Drosophila melanogaster: one gene and its partner. Changing the gene in region 1 together with any one later gene gives a genetic interaction. Each region holds a gene or a part of one and is shown in the gene's direction. Other genes may lie near its edges. The genes, in order: klu and Apc2.

The links.
Region 2: of klu (region 1) and Apc2, changing one suppresses a phenotype caused by changing the other (phenotypic suppression), as found in Drosophila melanogaster (one study listed by BioGRID).

The regions. Positions count from the first base shown.
Region 1 is NT_037436.4:11,005,920-11,010,870, reverse strand, and holds the start of klu (klumpfuss), read left to right. Parts: upstream 1-1,682; 5' UTR 1,683-2,521; intron 2,522-4,951.
Region 2 is NT_033777.3:24,162,168-24,169,062, forward strand, and holds Apc2 (adenomatous polyposis coli 2), read left to right. Parts: upstream 1-1,798; 5' UTR 1,799-2,006; coding exon 2,007-2,642; intron 2,643-2,705; coding exon 2,706-4,919; intron 4,920-5,116; coding exon 5,117-5,470; 3' UTR 5,471-5,770; coding exon of another isoform or gene 5,771-5,977; 3' UTR 5,978-6,097; downstream 6,098-6,895. Other genes in the region: TBC1d7 (TBC1 domain family member 7), read left to right, coding at 1-224, 285-516, 573-659; mRpS24 (mitochondrial ribosomal protein S24), read right to left, coding at 704-993, 1,051-1,240, 1,301-1,318; CG5510 (uncharacterized protein), read right to left, coding at 5,771-5,977, 6,307-6,636, 6,690-6,887.

The DNA.
Region 1 (4,951 bases):
CCAAACACCTACGTTCACTTTTGGCTCTTTGCAGTGCTTCTCTTTTTTGAAAGACCCACGAATTTTGTACGAATCGCGTAAACGCGTTTATTTTCCCTGCCCACAATCACACACACACACACTTAGAGATAGTGGTGTGGGTTGAGTATCTGCGTGTGCGTGTGTGTGTGAGTGCGCCACTATTCGTTCATTCACAAATTGTGTTGTTGCTGCCTTGGCATGCTTTTGCTTTGTTTTTTCTTTTTTTTGGTTTTTTCTCAATTCAGTTTTGTTTTGTAAACACACACATACACACCTGGATGGAGGCGCACACAGATACACTGACACCTCGGCAGCTGCGCCACACACACAACCGCACACACGGTGTGCAAAGAGAGAGAGAGCGCGCTCTCTCTCTCTCTCGTGCATCGGCATTTCAAGTTCAGATATCGTATCTGTGAAGTTGTTTTGCCGGCATTTCGATTCTCACGAGCGCAGAGAGAGAGACCGAAACTGTATCTGTGTGCGAGCGAAACGTGTGTGTGGTATAGGTGAGAGAGTTTATCCGACGATTTTATCCGGGCCTTCAATGCGGCTCAAAATCAGTCAACTGCGATTTTCTTATAATGCAAGTTGGCTTATATGCATGTTAGACAAAAATAACTTCATGGGTACAAATGAAAGTCTAAAATTAAACAAATATATATTTTAGATCATTTTGTAGCGCTTTAATTTTTTTGCGAAGTTAAACAAAAAAGAGTTCCAATTAAGAATATTATATTATTTTTAAAAGAAAATAAGTTCAAAGCCAAGAATTATTAAAAACTAGACTAATTAAATTTCAATCAAAAAGTATTGAATTTACATTTTTGCTTTAGAGAATGTTTGAGTTTTAAACTGTAACTAAAAACGCTGCTATTACTATTTGTAAAACATTTTAATAAATTATATATTTGAAATTGTTTTGTAATTGTTTCTAAGATTAGAAGGCCCTTAAAGTCGATAAAGTACTAAACGCATAAATCAAAATTTTTTGGCTTCTGAGCAATGTAAGTTTAGTTTAGTTTAGAACTCAAATGAAAATGAAATGCTGTATTAAGAAGAAAGGGCTCAATTAAGTGACATATATTGCTCGAAGGATGCGAAAAGTGACCTAAAAGCCGGCCAACTTCCCAAAGGATTCAACGAGCGCTGCTTCTATTTGCCTTCGCCTTCTGCAAGACAGTGGAAAAGACATCCGCTTGGATTCGGATTTCGTTAGCTTATCTTCGCATTCGATGTTATATAACGCCAGTCGGTGGAAGTGGGAGGTGCCTATTCGGAGCTCGACTCGCAACTGGCGACCCAAAAGCGCCAAATGCAGCCGAGTGCCCCCATTGGCATAGAGTTTTGAGCAATTAGAAGCCCACGCAGCCATAAACAACAACTGCTCGGGCGGGCGGAGAGTGGGAGGAGAAGCTCTTCGAGCAGCTCCCACCGAGAAAAGCGGAACACAAAAAAAAAAAAAAGAACTAGAGAAATCTCCACTGCACGTGCTGCTCTTTCTCGCTCTCTCGCGACTTTATCCGGCGAATGAGAGGCCAACAGTCGGCACTAACACACAGATACCGCCGCCTGTTTGCCTCGGTGTGGGTGTCTCTCGGTGCGATGGTATTGGTGCCTGGTATCGTCGCTGTACGAGTGGCGACTCTACTCAGAAGTCAGTTTCTTGCTGGGCAGTGTCGGTTCAGGTTCATCGACGCTCCGCACGCGCTGCCGCAAATTCTTCAGTGCTGAATAACCAAGACGCGTCTTTTTCGGACCCAAAAAAAAAGAAAAATATATAGAAAATATATCCGAACGTAACGTAATCTTCGCAGTGCGCTTACAGACTCCCCCTCCAACCCGCCACACAAAAAACTCTCTTTCTCTCTCTCTCCGCGAAGAGAGTTTCAGTGGTTGGTTTGGATAGGTCTTGGTGGTTCGGTGTTGCCGTCGCTGCTGCCGAAGCTCTGCCGACGCCGACGACGACGCCACGTCGGGAAAACCAACCTCTTGCAGTGAAAATCTTTTCGTACGTTTTCGTTATTTGTTATTCGCACGTTGACGCGACGAGACCGCGAAACACGACAGCACGAAACTGCAGCCCAAAACTGCAACTGCAACTGCAACTGCAACAATAACGATCGCGCGTGCAACAACAGCAATTCGAAATCTAATAGTGGCAAGCTGCAAAGTATCTAAACGCCTAGAAATCCGTAAACTAAACTCGCCAAATCATTTAAAATCAAGTGAAAAGTGTGTGTCTTAACAGCCCATTAAGTAATATAAATCAATTAAAGCCGCAAAACACACAATAAGCCAAACACGCAAACGCAGCATAAGCACAAATAATACATAAAAATAAAAGAAGTGTGATATTTTGATATTAGCAATTAGAGTTTACACAACGCAGCCTAAAAAATATTTGTTAAATGTGTTTTGCCACCCCGAAGGCAAAAGCTACAAATTGGATAATGCTTGGATAATTCCCCTCCTACAAAAAAAAAAAAAAAAATTAAAGGTGAGTTCGCGAGATCGCTCAATTTGCCGACGGCTTAGTCATTTGGACAGCCGAAAGAAAAAAAACTATAAAGTGCCATCTCAGCTGTGCTGTTTGGTTGGTCGAAATGTGTCAAAAGCTGAGCTCCAGTTACGAATAGGATCGGTTTACCATAACACTCAGCGTAATATCAGATCGGCGGCTATATGCTATATACATATGTACATATGTATGTGTGTGCTGCAATCGATTGCACCCATGAATGATGGACTGATGATGAGTCCATATCAGCACGGGCCCCCTCCAGTGGCATCATCCACATCATCATCATCATCATCATCATCATCATCCCAATCTCATCTCACTCCCATGCCATATTGACTCTATCTATATTGACGTCAATCGCAGCAGCAACTTGACATCGCCGATCTGCAGATCGTGTGCCTGGCAAATTGACGCACACAAAAGCGAGTGAGATAGAGAGCCTGGTAGAAAGATAGTACTAGGACCCTTAGCCCCAGTTTCCTCACATCCAGTTGCAGCTCCAGATTCCCACTTCCAGTTTTAGCCAGTCTCGGGGAATTTTAATTGCCCATCTTGGCCAAAAGCAGAGCTGGGCTGCACTCCCTCTCTCTATCTCTCTCTCTCTCTCTCTCTATGTGAACTATGCCAATTGTCTACACCTGAGCCGAAGAACTGCCCGTCTGGCTGACAAATTTGTATGCACGCGCTTCAAAAGTGCAATATTAATTAATTCCAGCAACTCGAGACACGGGCAGCAACAACATCAACTGATCTGTATGCAACAGAAGTTGCAAGTTGCTAGTTGCTAGTTGCTTGTTGCAAGTTGCTGGTTGCTAGCGGTTGCTACTTAGTCGAGGCAATTAAATCGTATGTCATTCATTGGTAATTTATACCATTTACAGGCATCTGCTCGATGTGGTTGGTTCCTTAAACAACAGTTCTGCGATAATAGCTCCGCGATGTTTTACACTTGCCCATTAGCATAGATTACTGCATCAAGTGCTGGACCAAAATCCGTTTGCTTTGCTTTTGACCTGTCTGGCAAACGCCAAACGCCAATAGCCACAACGCTTGATCGATCGCTCTAAACCGATTTCGATTCCGATCCGATCCGATCCGATCGGCGATAAATGCAACTTGCCATGAAAAGTGCTGCCTTAAATGGGCATTAGGCTATTGCACATTTCTCAATATGTCGAGTGATTTTTTCTCTGCTCCTCCAACGCGGCTGACTTATACGCACCGCACCTTATATGACGAACGGCGACGTCTGCCGCTGTCCCACTGCATTTGGCATATAAAACAGACGGAGCCACTCGGTGGCTTCCATCGGTGGTGCAGTTGGGGGGCAATGGTGGCGATGGTGTCTCAGGTGGTTCGCTGGTTGGAGTCTCACCCGCACGACGCCATTTCTCAGACCCCGATGTCAATGGCAATTTGCATTTTCCACACAAAAGCACCTAGGTGCTCCTGGTGGCGGCTCCCTTCCCTAGAAACAGGGCGGAATAAAAAAAAAAAAAGAAAATAACGCCATATATACTGTGTTTGGTCGAGTTAAGGTCCCTGGTTCAGTGGTTAATTTATTTCTGACACAGCCTTAAATTAACAATTTTAATACAAACAACAAAAGAGCGCGCATTGAAATTGAGACGTTGAGCGAAATACAAAAAAAAAACACAAAAAAACTCAGAAAAAATACAAAATAAAATAAAAAACAGTGAAAATGCACACAATAAAGGGAAAAAAAACAAAAAGCTTAAAAGGAAAAAACATAAAATAAATTTACAGCAAAACAAAAGCGTGTTACAGAACAAAGGAGACGATTTTGGGGAGCAGTGAAAGAGGAATGTGTAAAGTGAAATAAAATTCTGGCGCGTTAATTAACTTTAAACGATTGAAAACGAATTGATTTGGAGAAGCCATTTGATTTGGATTAGTCGTGCCCGATTCAGAAAAAATGCCACAAAAGGTTGTGGAGGTGGACCCCCAGCTCAAAGGGGTCACAGCTTTTGGCCAAGCTGCTGGGCTGAAAATTAAAATTCAATCATCACGTGTGCGTTAAAAGAGACACACCATCGGCCATCTAACAATCAGACAGATCATTGGAGTTGTTAATTGAAATGCGTTAAACAATAAAACAAAGACTGTCATGTCTGTCACAGTTGCCAAGTGACTTAACACCTTTGGGATCTGCGGTTAATGCCGATCCCCGACAACGGTGTGGATACTTCGACATCTGATAGGGCCACATCGGAATCGGAACCCTGGACATGCGTCGTTATCATGCATTTGATAAACGTTTTGTTTTTCATTAGAGCCTCGCCGCGGAGGAGGAGATATCAAAGATGCGCTCCTATCCGATCACAACCCTTTAATTAGCAGGGAGTTCAGCTCTGGTTTCTTGGAACCTAAGATCTAAATATTACT
Region 2 (6,895 bases), on another chromosome or scaffold:
TCCAATCGACTGTGGCATGGCAATACTAGTGCCAGTCTCCAGGCGGACGACATGCACTTCATAGAGATTGTGCGCACGTTGCTGCAGATATTCGACGACAACGTGGAAACCTACTGGATAGCAAAGGGATTCTACAAGTACACCCGCGAACTGAAGAAGGAGTGCGTCAAGCTGAAGGAGCAAACGCAGAATATACTGAAGCGCGAAGATTTGTCCTTGCTTAAGTGAGTTTGCATATGGTTAGTCGGGTTATTTGACCAATTTTCTTCGATTACTCCTTATAGTCACCTGGAGCTTCTGGGCCTGTTTGATGGCAACTCAACGCTACTGGATAACTGGTATATAACCTGCTTTGCTGGAATAATCTGTACAACTCATTTGGTCAAGATATGGGACAAAGTCTGTGGAGGGTCCCGGAAGATTGTTGTTTTCCTGTTTGTAGAACTAGTTAAGGACATAAGGTCCTCGATACTAAAGCAAACATCTTTAGCAGACGTCAAAAGACTTATAGAAACGGTAAGTAAATAAGGAAACCATTTGCTAAGCCATAACTTATCCAAAATTTGCCTTAGGTAAAGGATCTTGACGGTGTTATTATCGTAAACAAGGCCATCAAATCACTACAAAACAACAGCAGCGAAGTCGAGTACACGCACTAAGTAAATCTACACTTTTATATTGGACATGTATATAGCAGAATGAACTAAATGTATTTGAAGACCACGTCCTTTTTATCGCCCACCGTTTGCAGTTCCAAGGTCACTGGACACTGCATCCAATAGGAGAGCAGCTCCTCCGTGTAACCAATAAGGAAGTACATTTTTCGCGGTGTAATCGCCTGCCGAATAAGGGCCGCGATCCTAATGGTGTTGTGCTGTCGCTTGATAATGACCTCGGAGCAGACGAGGGCATGCCATGTGCCGGTGACAAACTTGCGGATGAACACATCCTCTATGGCGGTCTGGGACGGACGCAGGGCATCCTTCATTGTTGCTAAGATAGAAGGTGGCCATCAAAATGCTTCCTTAATAAAATTTTCTCACAACTTACACGTGTTCCATGAGTTCCACGATTTGCGGTGGCCAATAAAATGCGGCGGATTGGCCATCTCGTAGGTAAGAGGCCTGTTTCGCTTTGTGGTTATGCGGTATCGCCCGGATTGCACGCGACAGCACACGGAGCTGGTGTGGAATCCTGACCGGCTGAGCTGCTGCACCTCGGTCGCCACCTGGGGCAACAGCTGCAATAGATTAGGTTATTTTAATATATAATTTGTCCTGTTTGTTGTTATTTAACACACCTTTTTCAAGAAGTTCATTATTTTGCGGCAGAAACAATTTTGCGTCCAGCAACAGCTGATTGACGTGACGTAACGGTTCGCTAGAGATGGACAAATTTATAGATAAGTATTCGATATTATTATTGTGTAGTGAAAATATTTTCTATAAAATAAAAAACAACATTGAAGGAAGTAGTTAAATAAAAACACAGAAAGATTAATTTTTAGTTGTGTAAATGCCCTTTTTAGTTCTTAAATGCAATACTTGGATCTCTATTGCATTGATTAAAATCGATTTTTATTTTGTTTTAAAGCGGGGCAGAGTTGTCAACAGTTGTCGGTGGGAAAATGTAATAATGTAATGTAATAAAATTATTGCACGCTTATTTAAAATATATAAATAAACAACATTTTGAGAGCTTCCTTAATAAATAGAGTTAACTTTGTATTAATCCCTTTATTCGAAAGAACTTTGACTGATCATTGAACTTGGGCAGAACTAGCTATAAATTAGCTTAATCGGTAGCACTGGAGCGCTGAGCCTGCGCGCTTGGAAAATGGCTTAAACGCAGGCCATCTCAAACAAAGATCGAGGATCTCAGATCAGAAGGAACTACCTGTTGAAGCGACCGTGCAACAGGACTCATCCAGAAGCAAAGCTGCAAAGGTTTATTCCCAGAATCCCTGGTATCCGAATGCACTAATAGGTGAGGATACATTCAAAGTAATGACGCTGAACGAGAGCGACGCTACTCGCCTGGAGCTGACGCGCAACTTCCTGGAACTGTCTCGAAATCCGGAAACATGCACCGCCCTGCGCAGCTCGGACTGTATCCAGCTTCTGGTGCAGATTCTGCACGCCAACGACGAAGGCCTCTCCACGGCGAAAAAGTACGCCAGCCAGGCGCTGCACAACATCGTCCACAATAATCCGGAGGAGAAGGAGCGCCAGCGGGAGGTGAAGATGCTGCGCCTGCTGGACCAGATCCTCGACTACTGTAACTTTCTGCACACCCAGTTGCAGAGCGGCGGTGAGGCTATCGCAGATGATGAAGATCGTCATCCGCTGGCGGCTATGAAGCTCCTGATGAAAGCCAGTTTCGACGAGGAGCACCGCCAGACTATGTGCGAACTGGGAGCCCTCAAGGCGATTCCCAATTTGGTCCACCTTGATCATGCGGTCCATGGACCGGCTGCCGGTAGGGAACAGTGCAACGCCCTCAGGAGCTACGGCCTCATGGCCCTCACGAATCTCACCTTCGGAGACGAGAACGTCCATAACAAATCGTATCTGTGCGGTCAGCGACAGTTCATGGAAGTGGTCATTGCTCAATTGAACACGGCTCCGGATGAACTGCTACAGGTGAGTTTAATCTTGGAGATTAAGAAAAAAAGATCGTAATTTAATTACCGTTGATCTCATCAGGTTCTTGCTGGTGTGCTTCGCAATCTTTCGTGGCGCGCGGACAAACACATGAAGACTATCTTTAACGAGCTGGGTACTGTGACCTCCTTGGCTCGAGCAGCCATGCAAAACAAGAACGAGAACACTCTCAAGGCCATACTTTCAGCCCTTTGGAATCTCTCAGCGCACTGCAGCACCAACAAGGCGGAGTTTTGTGCAGTAGACGGAGCACTGGCATTTTTGGTCGGAATGCTTAGCTACGAGGGTCCGAGTAAAACTCTTAAGATCATCGAAAATGCAGGCGGCATTCTTCGAAATGTATCGAGCCATATTGCGGTGTGTGAGCCGTACCGACAAATCCTAAGACGGTACAATTGCCTTGCCATTCTGTTGCAACAGTTGAAATCGGAGAGCCTAACCGTGGTAAGCAACTCCTGCGGAACTCTGTGGAATCTCTCGGCGCGCTGTCCCGAGGACCAGCAATACCTCATTGACCACAATGCCATCCCGCTCTTGCGGGCCCTAATCAGCTCCAAGAACTCCATGATTGCGGAGGGCAGTGCCTCGGCTTTGAAAAACCTAGTTAATTTCAGGGCCACTCAGGAGCTTATGCCCAATGGAGATGGTGGGTCACTGCCACTAGACAAGGAAGCTGGCCATGGAGGTACGCTGCCACGGAGATTCAGCTCACTGCGCCTAAGCTCAAATCCCACGGGATCGCTTAAGAAAGTGCGACCCTCAACAGTCAGCACAACTGGCTTTCTGAACAGAAAATGTGAGAGCCGAGAGTCCATTTACTCGGGCAAATCCGATTCCACTAAATACTCAACCAAGTCGGAGGGAGCGAAGAATCCCTTCGAAATTGTGACACCCACTGAAGAGCAGCCCATTGACTACTCCATGAAGTACATGGAGCACAAACCCAATAGCAGTAAGACCTTTGAGATCGACTTGGATCAGCCAACGGATTTCAGTGCTAGATATAAGGAGAGACGATCCGCTCAGACGGCACAGCCGGAGCTGAAGTCGGAGACCAATGAGATTAGAAGTAAGGAGTTGCAACTGACAAAGTCCTCCTCGGCCACGGAGCTGCGCAATAGTCCTGGCCTGGTGGCGGTTTCAGCAGCTAAGCAGAAAATTGCCACCGAAACGGAGACGGAAACGGCAGAGCGACCAATAAACTACTGTGAAGAAGGGACTCCCGGCAGCTTCAGTCGCTTCGACTCGCTCAACAGCCTCACAGAGAAACCGGAGAAATGTATGCCGCCAAAAACTCCAACGAAAACTGCGGTTCTCCCGGTGCACGTTGACGGAAATACGCCTCAAAACATCGATTCCGCACTAGAAACTCCATTAATGTTTTCGCGTCGCAGCTCTATGGACTCATTGGTTGGCGACGACGAAACGGTTGCCTGCGAGGACAATGGATCCGTGATCAGTGAATACAGCCGGATGCAGAGTGGTGTTATTTCCCCCTCAGAGCTGCCCGATTCACCCACCCAGAGTATGCCTCAATCTCCGAGAAGGGACAGAAAAGTGTCCACTCAAAATAACTTGGACACACCTGAACAGAAGCCCAGTACTGTGTTTGAGGACAAGTTGAACAGATTCCACGTGGAGCACACGCCTGCTGCCTTCTCCTGCGCCACCAGTCTAAGTAATCTGAGCATGATGGACGACTCTAATGCAAACGCTATTCGAGGACAGCGTGGAAATGACATCAACGGCAATGGGGATGCTCCTCGCAGCTATTGCACAGAGGACACTACTGCCGTGCTTTCCAAAGCGCCAAGCAATAGTGATCTGTCCATTTTGTCCATCCCGAATGATCTAAATGCGAATGAAGCGCAGCCAGTGCCTGCTCCGCGAGCTGATGTTACCGGAATGGACACTCGGATGCCGGCAGAAGATGCAATCTCTAAGATGCGCTGCGGTGGCAATGCATTGCCCAGTTATCTGCCAGTGTCGGATGAAATGAGCAAGTACTATGTCGAGGACAGTCCCTGCACGTTTTCGGTCATCTCGGGACTATCCCATCTCACTGTTGGCTCTGCTAAGGCTGGGCCTGTTCTGAAGCTGCCAATGAGGACTGCAGAAGAGGCTCAGGCACCCAAACTTCCTCCCAGACGTAGTGCCGTTCAAGGAGATGCGGAGCCACGCTTACCGCCGAAGAAAAGCGACTCACTGAGCTCATTGTCCATGGACTCGGATGACGACTGTAATCTTCTAAGTCAGGTGAGAAAAGGATACTTCATTCAAAACACTTGATATATTTCACCATATAAACATTTTGTGAGAGACTCACTCAAAAATAAGTGTCTTTGTAGATTTAGCAATCGGAATGTTGATATTTCACAAAAGTTAAATTTAAAATGCAGTCAGAAAATTCTCGCTAAAATCAGAAATATTAAAGTTGTTCCCTCTTTTTATAGGCCATTGCTGCGGGAAGTTGTCGACCTCAGCCCAGCGGTGCCAGTACCAGCTCCAGCCTGGCGAACGCTAGTACCAGCACTCTATGCAGGGAAAATGGGCAGTCAAAGAAGCAGGTGGAGCATGGCGATAAGCCGAACTACAGCTCAGATGACTCGCTAGACGACGACGACGATGATGCACGGTCCAAGTCGCTATTTGAGCAGTGCATTCTGAGCGGCATGCATAAGTCCAACGACGCCTTGGAGTCGGAGGGTGAGCCGCCGGGGCAGCGCCAGGAGATCAGTGCCCGGGATCGATTTGTCAGTAACCAGGTGCGCCAGATTGAGTCCATGTTGGCTGGGCGTCAGCACTAGAAGCGGATGGTTGGTTAATTGAGAAGCGCATGCATTTGTTTAGTGGCTTTTAATCTTGTCTACGCAATAATATTCTCACGGTCTCAATTTTCCTATAGTTCAGATTAAAAATTTGCACTTAAATTTAACTCTCCAACACGTGTAATATTATGTTTACCCTCTCACTAAACAATTAAGGAAACTAAAAAGGGTGATAAGAAATGGGATACAGTCGCGGTATAAATATAAATAAAAGTTGCGATCAACTGAGGTCCGGGTAACTCCTAACATGATGCTACTGTGATGAACTAGCTAGAGAGCTCAGTAGAAACGTTTTCGCGCGTTGCGATCCTTGAAGTAGGAGATGGCGAAGATGGCCACTGCAGCCGCCACGACAACCACGAAGAGAAGGATGAAGAAGATCTTGGCGTTGGACATTCCCGGCTTGGGATCTTCTTTGTGCTCGCGCGGGGGCTCGAATGTCTTGGCATTCGGTATGATATTGGAGCGCCGGATAATCTCATCGTGCTGCGAACAAGAAAGAAAGTAAAAAGATGGTTATTGCAACAAGAAAGTAAAACTGGTTTTCAGTAATATGATATAAATATTATAACACACGGCTTATAAAGATAAACATGATTAGGCATCAAACAATGTGTTTAAAGCCAGCTGCTTAATTATTACAAGTTGCAGCAATTAAAAACAAGTTCACTCTTTTTTCTTTATACGTATACGCAGTTATTGAAACTTAAGTCCGCTTTTGGGTTCCTTGCACTCCTTATCGCGTTAGCCAAATAGCAGACAGCTGAGTAATGCTTACTTCGCTTCCGAAGTTTGGCAAACAAAAGTGAACTTACATTTACGTTCAAGTCCAGGTCATAGAACTTGAAACTGTGAATATCGTGATTGTCGGACAGATCACCCGTCGTCGCAGACATGCCGAAGTGGTAGCCCGTGGGTAGCTCAACGTTGGCCACTACAAAGCAGTTCTTCCATTCGTTGCGGTTCTCCAGATCTGTGGAAACCGACAGAATGTCGTTTTCGTATCGAATGCTAACCAGCGTCTCGTACTCCACATTGCGGAAACGAACTTCGCAGCCGGCCAGCTGAGTGTGCGTTCCATCGCGATCGTGGTCGTAGCTCCAGCTGCCATTGTTCACCATGGCGCTGAGATATGGATGTTGGTGCTACAAATATAATGTTAATACATTTACATTCAATGCCTTGCGTAATGACATACGTTGTGTGGACCATTGTGATTGCTATAGGTGTCCAGAATGATGGCCAGTCCGGAGAAGTGATCCTTGCTGCCAAAGACCGGCCCGGTTTGCATGCGCTCCTTTGTGTACCAAATGGCAAATCCGTCGCCGAACAGTTCAGTTCCCTTGCCGTGCACCTTAAAGCCAACGTGCACTTCCCAATTGCGAGTCATCACGGGCTTTGGAT